2 linked regions of the Coturnix japonica genome follow. The protein of the gene in region 1 interacts with the protein of each later gene in a pairwise test. Links are inferred from orthologs where the notes say so. Each region holds a gene or a part of one and is shown in the gene's direction. Other genes may lie near its edges.

Evidence for each region.
Region 2: the proteins of AQP2 (region 1) and ERG28 interact in binary tests that used the Homo sapiens proteins (3 or more experiments, as listed by UniProt). The link is inferred for Coturnix japonica from reciprocal best matches to the Homo sapiens genes AQP2 and ERG28.

The regions. Positions count from the first base shown.
Region 1 is NC_029544.1:1,313,946-1,318,226, forward strand, and holds the start of AQP2 (aquaporin-2), read left to right. Parts: upstream 1-1,382; 5' UTR 1,383-1,554; coding exon 1,555-1,920; intron 1,921-2,712; coding exon 2,713-2,877; intron 2,878-3,672; coding exon 3,673-3,753; intron 3,754-4,281. UniProt on the Homo sapiens protein: Forms a water-specific channel that provides the plasma membranes of renal collecting duct with high permeability to water, thereby permitting water to move in the direction of an osmotic gradient. Plays an essential role in renal water homeostasis.
Region 2 is NC_029520.1:34,764,050-34,768,212, reverse strand, and holds ERG28 (probable ergosterol biosynthetic protein 28), read left to right. Parts: upstream 1-1,289; 5' UTR 1,290-1,367; coding exon 1,368-1,500; intron 1,501-1,557; exon of another isoform or gene 1,558-1,579; coding exon 1,580-1,670; intron 1,671-2,158; coding exon 2,159-2,277; intron 2,278-2,429; coding exon 2,430-2,509; 3' UTR 2,510-2,528; intron 2,529-2,663; exon of another isoform or gene 2,664-2,946; intron 2,947-3,028; 3' UTR 3,029-3,503; downstream 3,504-4,163. Other genes in the region: tubulin polyglutamylase TTLL5, read right to left, coding at 499-587.

The DNA.
Region 1 (4,281 bases):
TGTGCAAGTGCATTTGCACTTGCAAAGTGTGCTTCAAAAACGTGTTCCTGGGCCATGCTCTGCCATCAGGAGGAGGCACAGTGCAACCCCAAAGCACCAGATAGAAATCCCAAAGCACTGGGTAGACAACAGCTGCAACCAGCCTTCACATCACCAGCTGAAAGCAAAGAGCGTGAGGCTGTGTCAGGGTTTTAAGTTGCTCAGAGCTAATCCTGCCTGCTTCTCTTGCTTTTTTAATTAGTCTTCATTAAGCAGGGACACATCACGCCTTGCTTGCCGTGAATAACTATTAATCAAACAGGGTATCAGCTCCAGGTAATTGCCATATTAGTTATCTGACATTCCCTATGCCACTGGCAGCCTGCACCTGTAATCAAGCCCTGACGTAATGCATTTCTGAGCAATGCTAAGCTTGCAAATCCATTGCAGGCAGAGAGCAGCAGGAGCCTGCAGCCAGGATGTGGCCGCATTTCTGTGCCTTATCAGCACCCCAAACACAGGCAGCCTCACAGTCTGCTGCATGAGATCTGCTTCACTGCTGGAAAACCAGAGCCTGGGGCCAAAGTCACATCTTGGCATTGCCAAGGAAGTCAAACAGGAGTTTTCAGAGGAAGGGGACGAATCCATGTCTCTCATCCTCACCCTGGACTTGTTTTCCCTACAGTTTCTCCTTTGATAAGGGCAATGTTCACATCAGCATCTTTATATGTAAAGAGAGGGCCAGTATTGTTACCCACCTTCTGCGGAGGAAGGAGCAATGCAATCTGAGCAATATGGAATAATCTTTTATGCCAGCTCTTCACATCCATTCAGTCGCACTCACACAGTTCCTCTGGAGGGGAAATGTTTGGCTCCTGCAGCGGAAGCCTTTGTTGGAGCCAAATAGGAGATGAAATGATCCTCTCATCTCCAGCTCTGCCCTGGGGGAGCACTTCTCCCAGGATGGCTCAAGAGTCTGTTAATGAGAGGAAGAAAAAGGGGGGAAAAAAGTCCATTTTTGCTGCAAACCAACCACTCCTTATTGCATAGGGAGCAGAAGGCCTTAAAGACGTGGCCAGTGGACGGTGTGTCCTAAGCAATGGAAGGGAAGAAGAACTGACTTGTTATCCATTCTCTTCAGCAGGACCCATGGGGTTTATCGCTCCACCTTAGCACTACGGCTTCCTTATTCACTTTCTCTTCTCCCCATGCTGCAGGTGATGGGGAGACAGAAGCAAGGAGCACTTCCAAAGCCCCCATAAGAAAGCACTGGGAAGAGGAAGCAGCATTTCCTGGCATTGCTCAAGGCTGATTTATGCCCTCTGAAGGATGGCAAGCACTGCATTCCCTAGCTTTAATAGCAGGGGCAGGCTCTGAAGTTCCCTCAGCTGGAACATACATGAAGGAAAGCATTGGGTTTCCCAGGACCACAACCCCACCTCCTTCAGCAGGCAATCCTCCTTCATCCCATACCCTTATATATAGGGCTTGTACCCCCATCATCCTCTCTGGATCCAGCAGTGCTACATCCATTGCCTGAAGCCCTTGCAGGCAGGGCCAGTCCTTGCAGCCTCCATGATGTGGGAGCTCCGCTCTGTCGCCTTCACCCGGGCTGTCCTGGCAGAATTTCTGGCCACCCTGGTCTTCATCCTCTTCGGCCTGGGCTCTGCTCTGAACTGGCCTTCAGCTTCTGCCCCGAGCATCCTTCAGATTGCATTGGCTTTTGGCTTGGCTATCGGCACGCTGGTCCAAGCTCTGGGGCACATCAGCGGAGCTCACATCAACCCAGCAGTGACAGTAGCTTGCCTTATTGGTTCCCACGTCTCCTTCCTGCGTGCAGTCTTCTATGTGGTGGCCCAGCTCCTGGGGGCTGTGGCAGGGGCTGCCATCCTACACGAGATCACCCCAGCCGACTCGAGGGAAGGCTTGGCCATCAACAAGGTGAGGCTGCAGCTCGTGGTGGGTGTGAAAAGGAGCTGAGAGGTTTGGGATGGAGCTGGAGGAAGGCTGAGGGATGTGTAGAAGGGCTTTGGGGTCAGCAAGGACATCTGTTAAACATTGGGTTGGCATGGTCAGATGTAGCATGGGTTCTTCCAGCAGCAGGGATGAACACGGGGCTCCTGTGCTTTTAGGGACTGAAAACAGAGGTGATCCAGCTGGATGGATAGACACCTAGATAGGAGACAAACCCTCATCAAATCCCCTTCTCAAACCACACATGCAATAAAAAGAAACTGAAGGAGAAAGACAGCATTCACTGTAACTCCCTTCTCCATGGGTAGGAGCAGCTGTACTGCTGCAGAGATGCCCACAGCAGCAGCAGCATCACCCAGAACTGGTGGAGAGGAGGAAGGCAGCATGTTTTAGGAGGCAGCACGGGGAAATCCCTTCCTTTGCAGAAGCAGCTGGTACTGCCAGACCCAGATTTACTGCCAGAGAGATTAAAAGGGTTGGAAAGGATCTGAGGATTAGTCTGAACAAGACTATTTATATTGATAATAGCTGAGGTTTAATGAACCCAACAAAGCAATAAGAGTTCTAAGAGATTTTCCAAATGCTGTTTTCAAACACAAAGCACCTGAAAGGAGAGATTTTGACAGAAGAGACATTCCATTTTTCCTGGGAAAATTCCAAAAATCTCACCCATTTCCTCTTCATTTCTGGGTTTCCCATCTAAATCTGCATTCCCAGCACTGAATTTGCCCATCCCTGAGATGCCTTTTCCCCTTTCAGCTGCACAATGAGACGACGACAGGGCAGGCGGTGACTGTCGAGCTCTTCCTCACCTTCCAGCTCGTCCTCTGCATCTTTGCTTCCACTGATGAACGCCGGGAGGACAACGTGGGGTCTCCTGCTCTGTCCATTGGCCTTTCTGTTGCCGTTGGACATCTCCTTGGGGTGAGTGGAATGGCTTAAATAGCAGTGCTTGGTTGGAATGTCTTTGTGTTTCTGCCAAAAGGTCTGTAATTCATGGGGGGGGGGGGTTGTAATGGTGCAATACTTGTGGTTTTGAAGTGGGTGCAGCAGGAAGATCCCACCAAAGCCACAGCACAATCACAGCCTGAGCTGAGCTGCTATTGGTTGCCAAAAAATCCATAACCTGTTGGATCTGCTGTTCATCAAGTCCCATTGAGAGCTACCAGGGATCCAAGGGGTCTTCTACCCTGGAGCAAGCATGTTAGCAACGGAGATTCTCAAGACCATGATAAACTGGGAGTTACATGGGATGGACAGCCAGGGAGATCCCTCATTGCTAACTTTTGCAGGCAAAAAAAACCACATTATTCCCCAACACTCCCAACCTCTCAGGATTAGAACAGCAATGTTTGCATCACTTCTTCCATCCTTAATGATATGCAAGCTTGTGTGGCTTGCTATGGGATTACTTTCCTTCAATCCTCTGTGGCAAGGAGTAGCAATGTGCTCCAGGAACAGGCACGGCAGAAACGTGCTCCCATTGCAGTATACATCACCCAACTTGCATCCGAGTTGCACCATGCAGACACATCTGCTTGCAGCAGAGATGCATGAACAGGACTCAGGTGTGTTGACTCAGGAGCTGGAAGCTGGTAGCATTTTGTTTCCTGGAATGGGGTATGCTGGGAGGATGAATCATGCTAATAACACACTGGGGTATATTCAATTGTGGTAAAAGAGCTTAATGTTAACACTAAGTGTGGTGTTTCTCTGCAGATCCGTTACACTGGTTGCTCCATGAACCCAGCCAGATCCTTTGCCCCAGCTGTAATTGTTGGAGACTTCAGTGATCATTGGGTAAGAATTGTTGTCTTGGTGTTGGGTCAGTGGGATGAGCCCCCCAGGATATCAGTATTCTTACAATAACAAAAAACCAACCAGGTCCAGCATCTTATCACCAGCTCCTGTTTAGAGGAGAGATGTGGAGATTTGCAGAAAGAGGTGGGGCTGCTGGGTGCTTAATTAGCTTATCTAAGCAGGGTGAGTTGCAACAGGAAAAGGGTGTGTGGTTTGTTGACCATGACTTAGTATAAGAGGTAAAACCAATGGAGAATGAAGCTGTTCTCGCCATCGTGGAGACCCTTCCTGGTTCCGGTTGGATCCAGGCATGAATTTTCCATCAGCTCTTTTAGGGACACTCCCAGGCACTGCCAGCTCAGTGCTGGAGCTGTGGATGTGCTCAGAGGTGTCCAAGCTGGGAGCCTCTTCCTCTCCATAGGAATGCATAAATGGGTAGGATGACATCCCAAACCAATATTGTGCTCACAACAGTGCTGTCATAAGTAGAGAATGTACAGTGCTGACCCTCAGAGGAGGAAGAGACAG
Region 2 (4,163 bases), on another chromosome or scaffold:
GCAGTAAGGCTACCAGGGCTCAGGCAATCCTCCAGGTGACAGTCATTCATTCCCAGAGTGACACTTGGTCACTTCATGCAGACACATTCAAGCCATAGGCAGTTCTTGAGCTTTTCATCCATGAGGGTCTGGGAGCTCCAAGCCAACTACTCAGTACAAAGTGGTATTTCTCTCCAAGGGCACTAAGGTGCTGCTGTTCGCAGCTGGACACCTGGTCACAAAATGCACTGAGAAGAAAACCAACAAGACATACTAAAGTAGGCACAAGTATTACAGCTCTCACAAGATGCTTTGTGACAACAGCACATAATGTGGTGCTCCAGTCCGCTGTGAAGCACATCTCCCTTCTCTTCAGGGAATTAAAACTAAGCAAACAAAGAAGGACATGAATTCCCATCGTTTTCTTACGTATCACCAAGGAACCAACGAGCTTCTCCACAGGGAGGACCCGGGGAAGGAACACAGCAAGAGTTAAGAGGGAGTTTATTCCCCACTTACTGCAGCTCGTCTCCAGGGTCTTCCTCCTCCTCCTCCTCCTCCGAGGACGAGCCGCTTTCCTCCAGCCCCCGAGCCATGCCCGCCGGCATTTCCTCCGGGCGCTCTCATGCAGCCGGCTCGGCGGCCTCACCGATCCCTACTGCGGGCCCGAGGGATCTGACAGCAGCTCTTACCTGCAACAGGAATTAACACCCTGAGCGCGCAGCCGGGCCGGCCACTGAGGGCAGCACAGCTCCAGCCGGGCCGCACTGCCCACCCCCGGCCTCACCCCGCGCTGCCCCAGCGGCACGCCCCGCTCGCTGCACGCCTTCCTTCCTTCCTTCCCTCCTTCCTTCCTTCCTTATTTCTTTCTTTCCTCCCTTCCCCCGCTCCAACGGCCCCCCATGTTGGGAGCGGCCCCCGGGCCGGCCACGCCTGTCGGTGCGGTCGTTCCCCGGCCTACCCGCGGCCTCAGAAGAGGCGCCCCGAGAGGCGCCGCTGTACCCTCGCGCGGCGATAGCGGCTCGGTGCGCCCCGTACCCGCTCCGTCATAGCCCCATGGCCGCGGCCCGTCCCGGTGGCCACTCCCGCCGCTTCCCCGTTACTACAACAACCGGCGGCGCCCGGCCCCGCCCTCACTGCGCGTGCGCCCCCGGGCCGGTCCGTCCCGCTGCAGCGCGCACGCGCGGCGCCTCCAGCTCCCCGGCGCGGGGGCGGGATCGGGCCGTGTCGGCGCGGCCTCCCATTGGCGGAGGCGGCCCCGGCGGCCGCGTGGCGCGCCTGTGGAGCGGCCCGGCCGCGGCCAATGGGAGCGCGGGAGGGCGGCGCGGGTTGGCAGCCCCGGTGCGGGATCGCGGTGCGGGATCGCGGTGCGGGGCCGTGGCGGCACGATGAGCCGGTTCCTGAACGTGCTGCGCAGCTGGCTCGTCATGGTGTCCGTCATCGCCGCCGGGAACACGCTGCAGAGCTTCCGCGACCACGGCTTCCTCTCGGAGAAGCTCTACACCGGCAGCCCGGCTCTCGGTAAGGGCTCGGCCCGCGGGAGCCCTTCCCCAGCGGCCCACGGGAGCGGTTCCTCACCGCGTTCTTTCCCTCCGTGCAGTGAACGGGCTGCAGGCCAGGACGTTCGGCATCTGGACGCTGCTGTCCTCCGTCATCCGCTGCCTGTGCGCCATCGACATCCGCAACCAAACGTACGGGGGCGGCAACGGGAGCGGGCGGGGGAGCGCTGGGTACAGGAGCGCTGGGTACAGGATCGCTGGGTGCCGCTCCGTGCTGTGGCCCTGGTAACGGCAGCGGCAATGACGTCGTTGTTTCTTGGGTCTCTCTGTGTTGCCCTCGAACCCGGTCCCTTCCCGCAGGTGCAGCTCATAGGGGATAAAGGAGCGACGGTGGGATGTGCCGGGTGATGCGCCCTTAGTCAGTCCGGTCTTGTCGACCCGTTCCTCGGCGCAGCCAGTTCTCACCCTGTTTCATGTGCCCCCCTGTTTCCTATAGCAGCAGCGCCCTGCCCTCGCTCTGCCCCTTCACTTCCAGGCAGATAACACCAGTGACCCTGCCCCACTGAACACGGCCATAGCCCAGTGACCTTTAGTACCCGTGCTCCACAGCAGTGTGTGGCTTTGCTGCCTGCCATGCTGGTGCTGCGAGTGTGCTAACCTGCTTCTTTCTGCTCCTACAGCCTCTACTACATCACGCTCTTCACCTTCTTCTTGGCCCTTGTTCACTTCCTCTCTGAAGTCTTCATTTACCACACTGCAGCCTTGACGATTGGAGTTATGGCACCACTCATGGTAGCAAGTAAGCTGAGCTCTACGTCCTGCCTCCCACCCCCAACCTCTCATGGAGCTCTCAGCTCCCTCAGAACTATCTGTGGGGCAAGGAGGGGGTGTTCAGAACGTCCCATCTGAGCAGCCTTTTTTAATACAACTCATGCTTTATCTCCGTCACAGGTTTCTCTATCCTGGGGATGCTGATCGGGCTACAGTACCTGGAGGTAGAAGCACTGTCAGAAAATAAGAAGAAAAACTGAGGCTGAGCGCACTGTAAAGGTCAGCATCATCTCCTGTTCTCACTGCCAGACTTCCACTAAAGCTCTGAGCTTCTCCAGGATGCCAGCCCCAGTGGCAGATTGATGTTGGACTCTGTTGATCATCCTTCATTACTGAGTGTTTTATCTTGTCCAGACAGCATTTCAGCTGACTGGTATCAAAGACGAGCCCCCACAGGAGCCCGTCCAAGCTTGCTTGGTGACTACCTCCCTGCAGGAGGGCAGGGAGCACCTCAGGCATACCCATGAAAATGCCCAGGTCTGCCCTTGGTGCACCTGTAGGGAGGAGGTGCAGAGCTGCCCAGGATACACTGAACACTTTGGATGGGAAAGAGAAGTGTGTGCTGCTGTGGTCCAACCGTGTAACATGCATGTGTGTGTTCTGCAGGGGCCATTTCTAATAAATGACAGAAAACTGACAGATGCAATGTCTTAGTGCTATACAACAGCGGGTAAATGCTCTTCACCTTTGGAACAAGTGGCTTTTACTGTATGTTGTAGGACCTTATCCTGCTTCACAGCACTGAGTCCCTTCCACCAGAGCTCCAGGTCTGACTGAACACATCACACACACTCCAGGAGAGCTGTTGCAGCTCTCACTGCCGTAGCATTCTAGTGGCAACAAACTGCGTGCATCAGGAGCAAGGATGGAGCTTCCTTTGCAATGAGCTATAACTGTAACAATGAGCAAATGGGAACAGGTTGCTCAGTGCTAGATGAAAGAACATCCAGGGCTGTGAGGAAGAAGGGGGAAAAATAAAAGGAAGAAAACAATGTAACAGTAGCAGTGGGCAGAGAAACTGTTTTTCTGTCCTGCATTTCAGGCTATTAAAAAAGCCACACCAAGACCTATAGTATAAAAATATCATCTTTCATTGTACACCTGCAAAGTTTTTATTTCATATAAAAATTATATTTAAAAGCCATTTTAGACCACATCCTCAATCCCAAACTATCAAAAAAAAAAAAAAAAAAAGGAATTTAACATAATTTTATCCAGTCTGCATTTTTCCAGTAGGGTTTGTGTATAACTGTATGATATTGGTATAAGGACACTTGATGTCTCCACCAAGGGATGGATGCTGGAAAGGAAGGAAAAGGGTTCTGAGGGTCTATATTTGTGACTGGGAGATAAGCACCAGCATATGAGACAGAACTGTGTGTAAGAAGGCTTCTATGACAAAGTGAAAGCCTCCATGCTAGAGAAAATCATCTGAAAACACCTCACCATTGCATTGCAGGGCAACATTGCCCTGACGGGTCATCTGATATTCCACAAAGGCTTTTGTGCAGTGTTAAAAGTTGCAAAAGGCACTTCATCATTAAGGAGGAATATAGGATCCTCAGCCATGAGAGCTTGTGCTTTGAGTCACTCCTGCTGCTAACCCAGTACTGAGCTGGGCTCAGGCTGTAGCCACAGCACAAACCCTTGCCTCTAGTAGGAGGTCTATTGGTCTCTCTCAATTATTCCTAGTATATAGGAATGTTAGAGCAATCCAAGTGAATTCAAGGTGCATATTTAGCTGCAGCCACATATTAAAAAGCTGGCACTGGCCACAGCAGTTGCACTGCTTTGCGCTATTAGGTTGGTGTTGTGCTGAAGGCCCCTACTATCACCTGTGCAACATGGAGGACA